Linked DNA regions of Macaca fascicularis. Each later gene encodes a partner of the first gene's protein in a complex. Links are inferred from orthologs where the notes say so. Each region holds a gene or a part of one and is shown in the gene's direction. Other genes may lie near its edges.

Evidence for each region.
Region 2: DPM2 (region 1) and PIGC share a complex: the UniProt entries of both Homo sapiens proteins name them as parts of the glycosylphosphatidylinositol-N-acetylglucosaminyltransferase (GPI-GnT) complex. The link is inferred for Macaca fascicularis from reciprocal best matches to the Homo sapiens genes DPM2 and PIGC.

What each region holds. Positions count from the first base shown.
Region 1 is NC_088389.1:16,048,491-16,055,991, forward strand, and holds DPM2 (dolichol phosphate-mannose biosynthesis regulatory protein), read left to right. Parts: upstream 1-3,538; 5' UTR 3,539-3,578; coding exon 3,579-3,581; intron 3,582-4,195; coding exon 4,196-4,285; intron 4,286-5,060; coding exon 5,061-5,163; intron 5,164-5,930; coding exon 5,931-5,989; 3' UTR 5,990-6,603; downstream 6,604-7,501. UniProt on the Homo sapiens protein: Regulates the biosynthesis of dolichol phosphate-mannose. Regulatory subunit of the dolichol-phosphate mannose (DPM) synthase complex; essential for the ER localization and stable expression of DPM1.
Region 2 is NC_088375.1:30,039,773-30,047,254, reverse strand, and holds PIGC (phosphatidylinositol N-acetylglucosaminyltransferase subunit C), read left to right. Parts: upstream 1-3,315; 5' UTR 3,316-3,424; intron 3,425-4,548; 5' UTR 4,549-4,786; coding exon 4,787-5,680; 3' UTR 5,681-5,951; downstream 5,952-7,482. UniProt on the Homo sapiens protein: Part of the glycosylphosphatidylinositol-N-acetylglucosaminyltransferase (GPI-GnT) complex that catalyzes the transfer of N-acetylglucosamine from UDP-N-acetylglucosamine to phosphatidylinositol and participates in the first step of GPI biosynthesis.

The sequences.
Region 1 (7,501 bases):
ACTGGCACTTTAAAAAGGAAGCTGACCGCACTGTGTCCAGATGAATTCGCCCCCAGAAGATGGGGGGAGTTCTGTCCTGCCCTTCTGTGTCTGTGTGACCTCACCCAGCCTAGGAGGGAGGTGCATTCAGGGTAGATTTGCCTCTCATTCAAAGTTCTGGGGCTTTGGGCAGAAAATAGCTGGCTTTGGTGCTGTTGGGGAGACTCCTCCAGACCAGGAACACCGGAAGGAGACAGAGCCTGCCACATCCTCCCACGCCAGGCCCTGGGCCAGGGTGATGGGACTGAGAATTCGGCCACAACCAAATTGATGCTGGCTGGAGCCAGAGGCCAGAAAGCCTGGCTTTGTTGTTCCCATGTGGGAGCCCTGTCCTCAGCCCTCCTGTCCCCTTGAGCTCAGTGAATTCCCACCAGGCGCCCACAGCTCCTGGACTTCAAATTCTATATATTGAGAGAGATGGAGAGTATATCGGAGATATTTTTGGAAAGGAATTGGTCTATGCAATGTCAGATTGGAATCTTCTTGAAAGTTTAACGTTTTTATTAGGAGATTTAAAAAATAAAGGTCTACAATATGTTTAGGGTTTTTTTTTTTCTTTTTTTTTCTTTCCTGTTTACTGCACAAACTGACCACATGGCATGTCTGCCAGGATGGAGGGTGTCCATGTTCTCTGTCTTTAGGGAGGTGATCAAGGAGGTGGGGGGAGGTGTCTTTTTTTTCTTTGAGTCCCCTCCTTTCTAACAGAATGTTGCCACCACTACTTGACTGGGCTGTGTTTGTTCCTCTGTCCCAGCTTCTGTTGTAGAAAATAACATTGTTAGGGGAAATCAGCCTAGTGTCAGTGTCTTGGTTTGAGGGGAAAAAATTAAATGTTTCGGTTTTTGTTTCTTTTGCTGTTTTGTTTTTACCTTGTTACTTTATCATATTGACTTTAGGGTCAAAGGCAACATCAGAAGGAAGTCAGATATGTATAGTGACATTCCAGGGGTGGGGAAGATGTAGGGGTCCAGGGTTCTCCCGGTCCTGGCTACAGGCACAATCATCACCACCTTCATCATTCCAGATTCCTGAGGAGGAAACAGAAGGCCGTTACCTGCCAGCCTCATACTGAGCGAAAGCTCTGTCCTCAGGGCCAAGTTCTAACCACTGCCCTGTAGACCTTCTCTGCAATCAAGTGGCCTCTAAGGAGCATGCCTGAGGACAAATAACTGTGCCTGTTTCCTCACCTGCAGATGGGGTTATCAACGGGAGTGTGCAGCCTGACCTATAGGAGGTGTGAATGTGTTCCCAAACTAAAGCCCCAGGCTGCCATCGTTTACAGGCCCAGGCTTGCCCTGGGCCCCTCACCCCTGTTTCTGACCCTCCCAAGTCGCTCTGGGACAGGCAAGTCACTCTGGGTCTTTAATGAGCTTGGAGGTGGCAGGAAGCTACAATGGTACTGGCCAGGCCAGGAGGAATCAGGCCACCAGGGCTCCATCTCTATCCCAGGATAGCATTCACCCCACTCCTCAGGGCTGACCCCCACTTACGGCCTCTTTAAACCCTGAAGGCGGATTCTGCCCCTTCCTCTGTTATATGCACAACCGGGGAGGGAGGTAAAAGTGGGCTCCTAGCTGAGCCCAAAGTCTCCTGAGAGAGAAGGGAAAAGAATCGGATTGTAGGTTTAAAAATGTTGCTCTTGGCCAGGCGCAGTGGCTCACGCCTATAATCCCAGCACTTTGGGAGGCTGAGGCTCTAGGAGGCAGATCACCTGAGGTCAGGAGTTTGAGACCAGCCTGACCAACATGGAGAAACCCCATCTCTACTAAAAATAGAAAAATTAGCTGGGCATGGTGGTGACTGCCTGTAATCCCAGCTACTCAGGAGGCTGAGGCAGGAGAATCACTTGAACCCAGGAGGCAGAGGTTGCAATGAGCCAAGATTGTGCCATTGCACTCCAGCCTGAGTGACAGGATGGGCTTCCAACAAACCAACGAGATAAATGCCAGAGGGAGTGAACCATGCCAGGCTCAGAGTACATCTCTCCCCAAACCCCCCAGGTGGGGACAGCAGGCCAAAGGCCTCCACATAACCCCTCAGGGAGGCCTGGAGTCCAGATGCTATACTCCAGGATCTAAACAATCACTGAATTTTAAAGCTGGCTGGTTCAAAACTCTTACTTTGGGCCGAGCGCGATGCTCACACCTGTAACCCAAGCACTTTTGGAGGCTGAGGTGGGCGGATCACCTGAGGTCAGGAGTTTGATACCAACCTAGCCAACACGGTGAAAACCCATCTCTACTAAAAACACAAAAATTAGCTGGACGTGTTGGCACGCGCCTATAGTCCCAGCTACTCGGGAGGCTGAGGCAAGAGAATCACTTGAACCCAGGAGGCGGAGGTTGCAGTGAGCTGAGAACACGCCACTGCACTCCAGCCTGGCCGACAGTGAGACTCCCATCTCTGGGGGAAAAACAAAAAAACAAAAAAAACCTCTTACTTTGGGCCAAGCCTCCACGGGGTGCCAGGGATACAGCAGCAATCTCAGATCCTACCCTCAGGGAGCTGACAGGGCCGGATGAACAAGTGTGTCAGTGAATTAAAAGGCACAGGAGGCTGGGCACGGTGGCTCACGCCTGTAAACTTTTGGAGGCCGAGTTGGGAGGATCGCTTGAGCCCAGGAGTTCGACACCAGCCTGGGTAACATAGAACTCCGTTTCTAAGAAAGAAAAAAAACCCTTCCCAGCTGGCTTCCCTGGGGAACGTGGCGTCCCAGTGAGGCTGGATGGATGGGGAGCAGCCGGCCGGTGAGTGGTGGGGGCCCGCGTTCCTATCTCGGAGCTGAAGAAGCGTGGAAGATGATCTGGCCCAACATCCCTTTGTTCTCAGAGGAAGGATCCTCCAAGATCGGGGAGGGGCCTGTGCGTGGGTTCTGGTCCGAAACATGTCTGGGCTGCTGCGAGAGGCAGCCGGTGAAGGAAAGGAGGGGACATCCAGAGGGTGGCCCAGGAGGCCAGGCGATGGTGAGGAGGGCGCCCCCTCTCCACCAATCCAAATCCTCCCCATTCATGCGGGCTGGGGACAGACCCTCCCCCGCCCATCCTAGGCTGAAAAGTGAACATTCTCTGCGCCTCTCCCACCTACAGACTAGTTACGGCCCCCCAGTTCCCGTGTCGGCTTCACCACTGACTCGGATTGGGATCTACCTTTCTCTGAGCCTCGCTTTTCCCATCTGAAAAATGGAACTTCCGATCCCGCACTCCCATCTCACTCTGACCCCAGGACTTTGGGATACTTAGAGATTGGCTTTTGGTGGGGCGGCGACAGGACTGTGGCCATGAAGGCCAGGGAGTCTGGGTCCCCAACTCGGTCCCATTCCCTAGGGAGATTCGGGCAGCAACCGGCCCCACAATGCTCTTGAGAACTACACTTCCTCGATATGCAAAGGGGAGGAGGCGGTTCCTGCTAGTCTCCGACGACGTGGGCCTGAGCCGGCCTGGGGACTACGACTCCCGGCGCGCTCCGCAGCCCAAAGCCGGAAAAGCGTGAATCCGGAACCGGATGTGGCTTGCGGCTCCGGTGACTGAACGCGCGGGGAAATGGTGAGATTGGGACAGAGTGCCGGAGATAGGGGCGTCTGGGGGTGGGGTCTCGGGTACTCAGAAGCTGGGGCATGGGCACTGGAACGGGGATTGCTCTCCCGCCCCCCCTATTGTACGGACGATAACGCGGAGGCCTGGCATTCTCTCCCAGCCTAGAAACTGATCCCTAGTCAGCCCTCTAGCATCTTTTTTTTTTTTTTTTTTTTTTTTTTTTTGAGACGGAGTCTCGCTCTGTCGCCCAGGCTGGAGTGCAGTGGCGGGATCTCAGCTCACTGCAAGCTCCGCCTCCCGGGTTCCCGCCATTCTCCTGCCTCAGCCTCCCGAGTAGCTGGGACTACAGGCGCCCGCCACCTCGCCCGGCTAGCTTTTTGTATTTTTTAGTAGAGACGGGGTTTCACCCTGTTAGCCGGGATGGTCTCGATCTCCTGACGTCGTGATCCGCCCGTCTCGGCCTCCCAAAGTGCTGGGATTACAGGCTTGAGCCACCGCGCCCGGCCTCCTCTAGCATCTGTTGAATGGGAAGCTTAGACCGTGATTGGGCCGCGACGCCCCGCCTCCATTAGTACGCCAAAATAGAGAGTCACTTCGTCAGCTGAGACCTCCCTTTTCTCCAGGCCACGGGGACAGACCAGGTGGTGGGACTCGGCCTCGTCGCCGTTAGCCTGATCATCTTCACCTACTACACCGCCTGGGTGATTCTCTTGGTATGTCATTCTCCCCGTCCGCTGCTCACCTTCCCGTAGCCCTGGCACCGCCAAAGCAACTTCTATGTAGGTTCTAGGCACGGCGCTGGCTTCATTGCCTGCCTTATCTCTTGAAATCTTCAAAACAACGCTATGAGGAAGATGCCAGTGGTGCCGCATTTTTTAGATGAGATAGCTGAGGCTCGGGGAGAAGGATCTGGCCCAAGATTGCATCCTTAGCCGCTACACTTAAAACTCTGTTTCCAGCTTGCTTTGACTTTTGGGGGAGTTATGTTCCTTCTGGGTTAGCCTGCTGACTCAGGCATGGCGAGCGCCAGTGATATCTGTGAAGGCCTTTAGGATATTTTTTTCTTGTGGGAAAACGTGTTGGTCATTGCTTAAGAAGTGCAGTGTGTTTGGAAGTGCAGAACTTGCTATCCTTTAGGGAAAAAATATTAGTGAAGAATCCCTGGAGGCCCAGGTTGGGAGTCAGTCGAGGATTCCTCATGTACTATTTGCTAGCCTGTGAGTGCCTTAGGGCTGGTCTCTTGTCCCCTGTTCTCTTGTCCCCACCACCAACCTATGGCAGGCACCAAAGCAAGTGCCCGGTAAATACCAATAAGAAATTAAGGAAGGAAACAAACCATGACACCCAAATGCCATAATCTTAAAGAAAAGCAAATGCAGGCCCAGTGCTCTGAATGGGCCAGCCCCTTAGATGCTAGAGGTGGTGTGTTTGGGCTTGGGGGCTGGGCAAGGCGAGCAAGGCTCACCAGAGCTCTGCCCTCGATGCCAGCCATTCATCGACAGTGAGCATGTCATCCACAAGTATTTCCTGCCCCGAGCCTATGCTGTCGCCATCCCACTGGCTGCAGGCCTCCTACTGCTCCTGTTTGTGGGTAAGTCATCACTTCCTCCCCTTGACCCCGGGCAGGGTTTCGGGGGGACCCCACCTCTGAACATGCTTCCACACTTTGGCACTGCTGGAAGCTCCTTGCCCCGAACTCACCCCTGGGGTTTTCCTGTTCATCCTTCGAGGTTGCCAGTCAGTAACCTCTGGGTTTCCTGGTGCCCCAGGCTTTTTGGACTCCAATGACCTGTCCCCCTCTTTCCTGCCCCCAACCCCATCATTGCTCTGCTCACACCTCAGTCACCCTCTTGTCACCCTGGCTTCTAATTCCTGCACCTCTCTCTCTCATGGCTTCCTAGGGGCGGGGACTGTGTCTCCATCATTACTGTGCATCTAGAATGGGCTGTGGCACTGAGGTTGTGCTCAGAAAGTCATTTGGATGAGTCAGTCAATAGCCGGGTGCCTGGATGATGGGTGGATGGATGGGTGGGTGGGTGAGGTATAGGAGGTGGGTAGGTATATAGGTGGACAAGTGGTTGACTGGGTGATCTATAGATGGGTGGATCTTGTTCCCCTTGGAATCTGAAACACTAAATGCAGCATCTTTGCCTGAGGCAGGCACTCAGCTGGTGTTTGTTGAATGAATGTGAGTGGACCTATGGCTTGACGAATGACTAGGGAGATAAGCAGGTTCCCTGGAGAGTGGTTGGGTAGGTTCACAGCCCTGCGTGTGGGTGGCTCTGCTGTGTCGTGCCCTGGCCTCCCAGCAGCCCTGAGCTTAGATCTTATGTGGCCTTTCTGGTCTATGTATTCCAGGACTGTTCATCACCTACGTGATGCTGAAGAGCGAGAGGGTGACCAAGAAGGCTCAGTGAAGGTCCCGCGGGGATGAGGCTGCCAGCCCCTTCTCTGCTTCCCCTCCAGCACAGGGACCAAGTAGGGGAGCCTGCAGAACCTGTCCAGGCACAGTGGCGCCTCCAGCCTGCCTGTCCTGCAGAGTCCCCATGACATGGAGCTTACCCCTGCCTGACCGGAGCCCCCTCCCTGACTCTCACTTCCAGAAGCTAGGAGGGAGGAATACCTGGAAGACTCCAGTCACCCCCTTCTTGCTCAGGGCCTAAAAGATGCTGGTCTCCCAACCTCACTCTCAGACTCCCTGCCACCTTTTCCCCCGGGTTTTGCCATGTTGCCTCACTTCCCCTCCTGTCACATGCTGACATTGGACTTAGCGGGTTCTAGGGCCGCATGTGTGACCTCTCTGACCTCCCTCCACAAGTCCTGCTCCTCCAGCAAGGCAGCTTTCCTTAGCCTGACACAGCCCAAGACCCCGCAAAGCCTTCTGGACCTGGAACGCCCGGGGAAGGACTGACAGACCCCAGGACCAGCCCTGGGCCTCAAGGCATATTAGCTGCTGACCGATCGCTCCTCATGGAGGTCCCCAGGGCTGGCCTGTTTGGGAGAGCTGACCAATAAACACTGATCATGTGTTTGTCTCTGTGCTGTGTTTACCCAGGGTCGGGGCTGGAGCGGGCTGGGAGTGGTCTTGGGTCAGGAGATCCTGTACAGTGGGGTTGACTCAGGGGCCTTCTGCCCTGACCCCGTGCGCTGGGGATAAAGCAGGGACTGGGAGAGATGTGCTTCCTACCCAATGGAGCTCACAGCTGGGAGTCATTGAAGGCCCTGGCACCCCTGTGCCATGCCTCCTCTGTGCCAGCTTGGGCAGGTTGGATTTATTACTTTAGGGACCCTTGTGCCACTCCCCTAAAAGCCCCACAGCCCAACTTAACGTGGCCCTGAGCAGCGAAGGCTGCTGTGTGTTCAGGTTGGCTGGACTGGCCCAGCCCCCAGCCCTCCAGCAGTCCCACCGCACCTGGGCAGCTGGCTCTCCCATTTGCCACCGCACCTGGTATAAACCCCCATTCCTCAAACCCGGGACCCTCACTCTTCTTCCAGTTGGCAGAGGTATCTTCCTCATCACAGAGAAAAAAGAGGCCAACTGCAGACACCCGCCCTGTCCCTACCTGCTCCATACTCTGTCCTCCAGTCCAGGCAGAGCAGCCTCCTTGGGCTCTGGATCCTAATCCACCAACCTCCAACTACTATAGTGGGAGCCTGAGGTCACAGATGGCCCCACCCTGTTGTGAGAAAAATCTCCACAGGATTCTCCCACTGTTTCCTAAGTGTGCTCGGGGATCCCACTTACAGGCCCTCTGTCAACCCAGTAGTTCCCACTAAGTGTCTCCCTCTGTCCATTTCACCACCAAGCTTCCCCAAAGGGGGTCCACATCTGCCTCCTGCATTTCCTCACCTCCTGCCACACTCAGCATCTGTCCCCATCTCCAGGCAGGCTCCAGCCACTGAGGCCACCAGCAGTGTCCACTCTATTT
Region 2 (7,482 bases), on another chromosome or scaffold:
TGAGGGTGGCTTCGAAATTGTCAGGCCAACCTGAGAGAGTCCTTGAAGGAAGTGGGTCAGTACAGGCACTTCTTATTACAGCCCAGCCGCACCTCCTCCAACCGCGCAGGTGTGTTTCCATTGCGCACAGCTGGAATTACTCTGAGCATATTTGGCTAAATGTTCCTTTATCTTTTTCAGACTGTTCTGCATTAGAACTCTTTGCTCAAGGGTATGTAACGCTTAAGGCACATTGAGAACTTTCTCCCAAAGTCTCAGTAAGGGGCTTTGCCAAAAATAAACAGCTTGGAACCCAGAGCTTTGTCCCACATGAGGAGCTTTTAATCCTTAAGATCTGTTGATACTTAAACCATCCTTTCAAAAGACTTTACATTCCTGTCTTGTCCTCCTGAGAGTTCAGGGCACCTCAGAGGTGCTGTTCGGTCACCTTTGTTGTAAGGTAGGTGTATTACATTTTTCTAAACAAGAATTGAGATTGCTACCCCAATCCTCCCAGAATAGCGATGAGTAGAGCTTCACTGCCTGCCTAAGGTAATTTCTTCTTGTGCCTAGCCTAGGTTTGGCTGGCTGGAGGAAAAACTACCCACTCCCTTTCCAGTTGGCTGTCAATAGACTGTCTGCTCTGACCCTCCAGGACCTGGCTGTGAAATTGAACAGGTGCTGCGGAAGGCCAGTTGTATTCTGGGCCTACCCTTCTCCCTGATCTTCACCCTCTGCCAAAGGCTTATATACTTAGAGACCAAGGGAGCTGGGGGCAAGAGAGCCATGCACAAGGATGCTTTGCTCTTGGCTGCTGGGGCAGGTCTAATGGACATGGGGGTAGTATGGGATGGTGGGATATTACCCTATTAGATCAAACACTAGCAATTTCACATAAAACATCCAGATTTCTAGTACTATTAGAAGACCCAGTGGATCTGGCCTCTGGACTCACATGCCTGCAGGTAACACTGCTGGGGTGCGGGTGGGCTGAAGTGGGGAGGTGATTTCCATTCACTGCAGTCCTGTTTGGCCAGCTGTACTCATTATGCCCCTCATCTCACTGTCATGGGCCTGTGAGTTTGTGTCCCACCCTCAATTAAAATATGCTAGACTATCCTTACTCATGCTGATCCATGTAGCATTAACAACTCTTAATAAGCCCTCTATCACTTAGTGCTTTTGTTTCTTAAATAGGTCTTTGAGTTTATTGAACCTCTGAAAATCTGCTTTAGACCTATTCAAAATTATGTAAAAGCAACACAACTGAATAATGAGCACTTGAAAGCACTTGTGAATTTTGTTCTGAAAATACATAAAACTGTACCTATTTACTGAGAATGTGATTTTTTTTTAAAGTAGAGTAGACAAAGTAAGGGTACGTGTTACTAAAGTGGGGATGTGGAGGTAGTGATGGGAATTCGCTCACGAAGTCATTTATCCATGGGCAGGAGGGTACATGGTAGTTATCAACAGGAGGAGAAACCCTTTTCGGGGAGTCTGGCTTTTCTAACAAGCTGTTTCACATGCCAAGGAGTGGATCCTTTTTTGTCTGTCATGTACCTTTGGAATGGCCTCTATGCCTACCTTTTCTTTGCCCTCCTTCTGGTTTCTTTCATTTACCCCAACACTGCTTCACACCTACCCTTCTGTCCATGTCCCCTTTCCAGAGTGGGGTTTATCACTACACTTAGGAACCATTTCATCAAAAATGGAGAAGGAACATGGTAACCCAATAATTTCAAGAGACAGCTGAAATGCTCCCTAGACATGTAATTCCTGCAATTTTGAAAAATAGATGTATGTGTCACATAGTAGTCTGTCTGGAAGGAATAGGACTAACAAGATTGTAGGAGGGTACCTCAAAGTTACATACAGAGTTACTATTCTATAAAGATGGGAACTTACTGTTCTAGACTTTTGATGGTAAAAATGTGAAAATTTCAGACTACAGCAGTGGAGAAAAGGTGGGGTGAGAAAGAGGATGGAAGTGTTTTAAGTGACAGTGTCTAGCGACAAAATTATCTTATACTGTTGAGTGGTAGAGGGAAATAATTTGAGATCTCATCTCCTCTAGCCAGATCTATACTCAGTGATCATTTTTGTCTGAGAAACCTGGAATATTTCTATTTTTAAAGCACTTGACTTGAGTTTCTCAATGGATCAAATGCGCCCTCTGATAATTGTATAATTATCATCCCTTAAGAAGAAATCATCTTCTGTGAGATGTTTCGTAAATCTTTTGCCCTCAGTGGCTGAGAGGTTACCTTCTGGGGAGGCTGAGCACTAGTGGCTTGTTTACGAGGCTGGCCTCACTAAGCCAAGGAATCTTGTCAAATTTTGCAACAGAAGCCTAGAGGGAAATAGAGAACATTTTACAGAATGTATCACACTTAAACATTGCTATCATTACGATGGCCGAAGTCAGCTAATAGCAGCCATATAGTGAACACTTTACAAAACATTTTTATATTTTATATTTGACTCTTTGACCATCTTATACAGTAGCCAAGTGCAAATAATGTCATCTCCATTTTACTAATGAAGAAATCCAAGGTCAGGTAGTGTGATTTGCCTTGAGTCACTGAGCTAGTAAATGGGTCATGTTTTCTGACTTTTGTATCCACTGTATCCCGTGTTTTACTACATCCCTTTGTTTATTATTTCCTTTGTTTATACATCCTTTAATATTTCTATGAACTCAGTTTAATTAGCAATCTTCTCCTTTCCTCTTTTAGGAGTTAAAGAGGAAAGAACCAAGCTTTGAATCTATGGACAACTGGATATTGATCTCTGTTCATCTACTTCCCAGGTGCCTGTCCTTGGACAAATTCAACTTATCTGAGCCTTAGATTTGTCCTCTTTGAGGGAGAAGATGATATAATCAGTGTAAAGGTCAATGTACCAAAAAAGAGAGTTTCATGAGAGCAGCAATTTTTGTCTGTTTCATTCACGGCTGTATCATGAGCACCCCCAAGGAGGGCTTGTTACCTGCAGGCATTCAGTCAGTATCTGTGGAATGAACGCATGGATGCATGGGAAGTCCCAGCTGAGGGCCTGACTTAATAAAAGGAGCGCAACAAAAGCTGCCATTATCTCTCACCCACTGGCCCAGCCTCTTTCCTTGTCCTCTCCTGCCTTACCCAGCCCTTCAGATGGCACATCCCATCTTTCAATAGGGGATTGCTGGAGATTTGCCTTCCTAGGCTCAGAGCATTCGGGTTTGGGCCAGTCTGCAGGAGAGGAGTCCGGAGGTCCTCTGAGCAGCCAGGAGGGGGCAGCAGCCACGTCGCGATGGTTCCGGCTGGGGAAGGGTGCTCTCGCTGAGGAGATTGCGGCAGACCCGGAAGTGCTCCGCCACAGTCGCAGCCCCTGCGCCCCGGAGCGGGAAAAAGGCTGGGTGCCGCCGTCCCCCAGCTGCGCATCCCTAGGAACTCTCGGGCAGGTGGGTTCCGTGTAACTGTCAGTGTTTCCGGGGCTCCTTCTCCTCTGCTGTCTCTCGCAGGCTCAAGGCTGAGTGAGGGGTGGCGGCTGGAGTGGGAGGCCCGGAGAGTGAAGGCGCACCCCTGGGGTCACCCTACCCTACCCTACCCTACCCTGTCCCCTCCCAGCCCCACTCTGCGGGCGGGCGCTGCCCTTTTGGGCGTCGCGAACCCTCCAGCCTCGGCGGCGGCCTTAAGATTCCCGGGCTGGGATCCCTGCTGCAGAGAGCGGGGTAACGGTGTCTGGCCTGCCAAGCAACACTTGTCGTGGTCTTCATGGAAAAAATAAAGTCGGGCAATATGAAATTTTTTTTCCTTAAATTTGCCGGATGCCTGTGGTGTTTCTGACTCTTAGTTTTCTCATTGTGAAAAAGGGATGATTACCTTTCTGGATCCTCACAAGAGTTTCCTTGTTTTGAGTAGACTGATAGCTCTTTAAAGGATGCTAAGCTCAGCTAATGGAAGAAGAGTCTAGTTTCTTTGAGTCTTTGATTTTGGCTAAACAAACTGTAGAGCTCATACCTTTCTGTATGGTGCAGCTTACTATTGTCTTTGGATTGGTAATTTAAAAAATATAACATGCCTTTGAGAACCAATAAAAGCTATGGATATTATCCGTATAAATTCACACAAATCCGGATATAAACATGCAATGTGATACACCGAAGGGGTATGTGAACCACTGAGTTAAGAACTGGTTTAGAGGGAGATACAGTGTCAGACACAGGCTTTGGGATAAGACTTTGGTTTGAATCCTGGCTCTGCTCTGTTACTTTAGGGCAAAGTTACTTAAGCATCTTGAATCTCAGCTTTTTTACCAAAGCAGGACTAATACTAACTTGCAAGGTTGTGAGGATTAAGTGAAAGAAGATACATAAGGCATTTAGCACATAGTAGGCACTCAATAAATGATAGCTAACAGATGTCTTTTATTATTCAAGGAATTATAATTTTCAAGTCTGAAATGCAGTTTTAATGTCCCAAATTAATAAGGTGACTACCACATACATTTTGCTCAGACTTTTAGTAAACTGAGTTGATTTGACTTTAACTCAGTACTACTCTTGACCTTTCACAACTTTTGTAGGTTCACAGTCTCTCTTTTTCTAGGAACTTGGCTGTGTTGTCCTGCCTCAGAGACAAATTCATCTGTTGTAGGCCTAGCCTGGGTTGCTGCCTTTGAAAACAAGGAAAGGTTGATAGAACATCAACCACAGCATGGAATTTCCAGGGAGGTCTCATTTCAAAACTTCATAAAGAACAAGAACCACCTGGACTTCTGTGAGGGCGATGATTAAACTGGCCTGAGTTTGAATGAAAGGATAATGTGTGCCCAACCTGTAACTAGCACCAAGGAGGTCAAGTGGCAGAAGGTCTTGTATGAGCGACAGCCCTTTCCTGATAACTATGTGGACCGGCGATTCCTGGAAGAGCTCCGGAAAAACATCCATGCTCGGAAATACCAATATTGGGCTGTGGTATTTGAGTCCAGTGTAGTGATCCAGCAGCTGTGCAGTGTTTGTGTTTTTGTGGTTATCTGGTGGTATATGGATGAGGGTCTTCTGGCCCCCCATTGGCTTTTTGGGACTGGCCTGGCTTCTTCACTGATTGGGTATGTTTTGTTTGATCTCATTGATGGAGGTGAAGGGCGGAAGAAGAGTGGGCAGACCCGATGGGCTGACCTGAAGAGTGCCCTAGTCTTCATTACTTTCACTTATGGGTTTTCACCAGTGCTGAAAACCCTTACAGAGTCTGTCAGCACTGACACCATCTATGCCATGTCAGTCTTCATGCTGTTAGGCCACCTCATCTTTTTTGACTATGGTGCCAATGCTGCCATTGTGTCCAGCACGCTATCCTTGAACATGGCCATCTTTGCTTCTGTATGCTTGGCTTCACGTCTTCCCCGGTCCCTGCATGCCTTCATCATGGTGACGTTTGCCATTCAGATTTTTGCCCTATGGCCCATGTTACAGAAGAAACTAAAGGCATGTACTCCCCGGAGCTATGTGGGGGTCACACTGCTCTTTGCATTTTCAGCCTTAGGAGGCCTACTGTCCATCAGTGCTGTGGGAGCCATACTCTTTGCCCTTCTGCTGATGTCTATCTCATGTCTCTGTCCATTCTACCTCATTCGCTTGCAGCTTTTTAAAGAAAACATTCATGGGCCTTGGGATGAAGCTGAAATCAAGGAAGACTTGTCCAGGTTCCTCAGTTAAATTAGGACATCCATTACGTTATTAAGGCAAGCTGATAGACTAGCCTCCTAACTAGTATAGAACTTAAAGACAGAGTTCCATTCTGGAAGCAGCATGTCATTGTGGTAAGAGAACAGAGATCAAAACAAAAAAGATGAACCAAAGGCTTGGGTGGTGCGGGTTCTTATCCTTTCCGTTATTTTGTGGATGAAAATACTTTCTGGGACCCTCTTGAATTACATGCTGTAACATATGAAGTGATGTGGTTTCTATTAAAAAAATAACACATTCATCAAGTTGTCTCATGATTTTTACATAAACAGTAGGCAGAGGGGCATGAAGAGTGAAGAGTGTGTGCGTGTGTGTGTGTGTGTGTGTAAAGTCACTTCTCTCTACCCTTTTCAATGTGCTAATGCTGTTTTATTTATCTAGGGCTCAAATCCTAGAACACAAGGTGCTGTGTTCAGTTTTGTTGCCCAATATCACAGAATTGGTTACCTAACCTTGACTCAGTTTCTACCTTGTTGTTACGGAAGCATATACACAACTAATTACAAAGCAGAGTGTGATGTGTCATAATAAGCAGAATGCTAGGGGGAATTCAGAAGCTGGAGATAAATTTCAGCTGGAATAATTAGGAAATACTTATGAGAGGCAGTGACATTTGAGCTTAGTCTTGGAGGATAGGGAGACTTAAGTAGGCAAAAGATGGTTTTAGGGCAATGTGTTGAAGGCCTTTAGAGGCCAGGTCAGTAACGGAAGCAAGTGAAACTGGCATGCTTTGTGTGACTGATGGCAACTGTGAACAAATGGAGATGTCCAATGGAGACACCTGCTACAGTGCTCCAACTGATAGTTTCTATTCACAGTTTGTGCATAGACCCTTAGAATTCCAGATAGGATTCTAAAAGAAGTCCCAGTAACTGTATATCTGATTTTTAATATGAAATCTGACTTGTAAATTCTGTCTCAAGTTTAAATTAATCAGGCTAAAAACACGTTTGCAGCAACATAAGATTACTACTGTACCACATCTGTCCTTAGCATGGGCACGATGATGGGACAATATTTGATGGCACTTCAGGGTTATGGGGAGTTTTGGGAGGGGATATTGGGAAAAAGTCAGAATGGGAGGTTGAGTAGCAATTCGAGGGCTGTGAATTTGGGCTCTATACTTTAGGTAATGGGGAGCAATCCATTTTGTCTAAGGAGGAAATAAATCATCACATCTTAGGCCACAGCTGTTCTATGTCTCAGTTTTCATCTGTAAAGTGGGAATAAAAGTATCTACCTCTAGAATTGTGGTAAATGGGATATATGCAAAGTGCTTTGAAGAATGCCTGACACGAAGCACTATGTATTAGCATCAGCACTATGTAATAGCTAGTACTAATGTATTAGGTGTTGTTTAAGTTGACATGTAAGAAAACCTAAAGAGAGCAGAGACAAGGTGCCAAATGCAGCAGGCACCTCCCAGGATAGCTGGTTATTCCTGTGGTAATTCATTTGCGGCAAGTTTCTGTACTGTCCTTTTATCACTAGGAATTAACTTCAAATCAGAAATTTTGTCAAGGGAGTGGTATTACTAAAAAATAATATATTTATTTGCATAAATTTCTCAAGAATGTCTGGGACATGACTTTGAACTAGTGTCTTCAGCGCTTCTCATGTCACATTCTTTTTCAGAGTTTTATTTGGGCAGATGAATATTGTGTTTTGTGATAAAAATTGGTGGTTTTCCGCAAGGTCAATTGGACTGCTTTCTATATTTAAGGACACTAGCCAATGAGGAGAAAAGGGTTTCAGGGACTAACCTCTGGAGC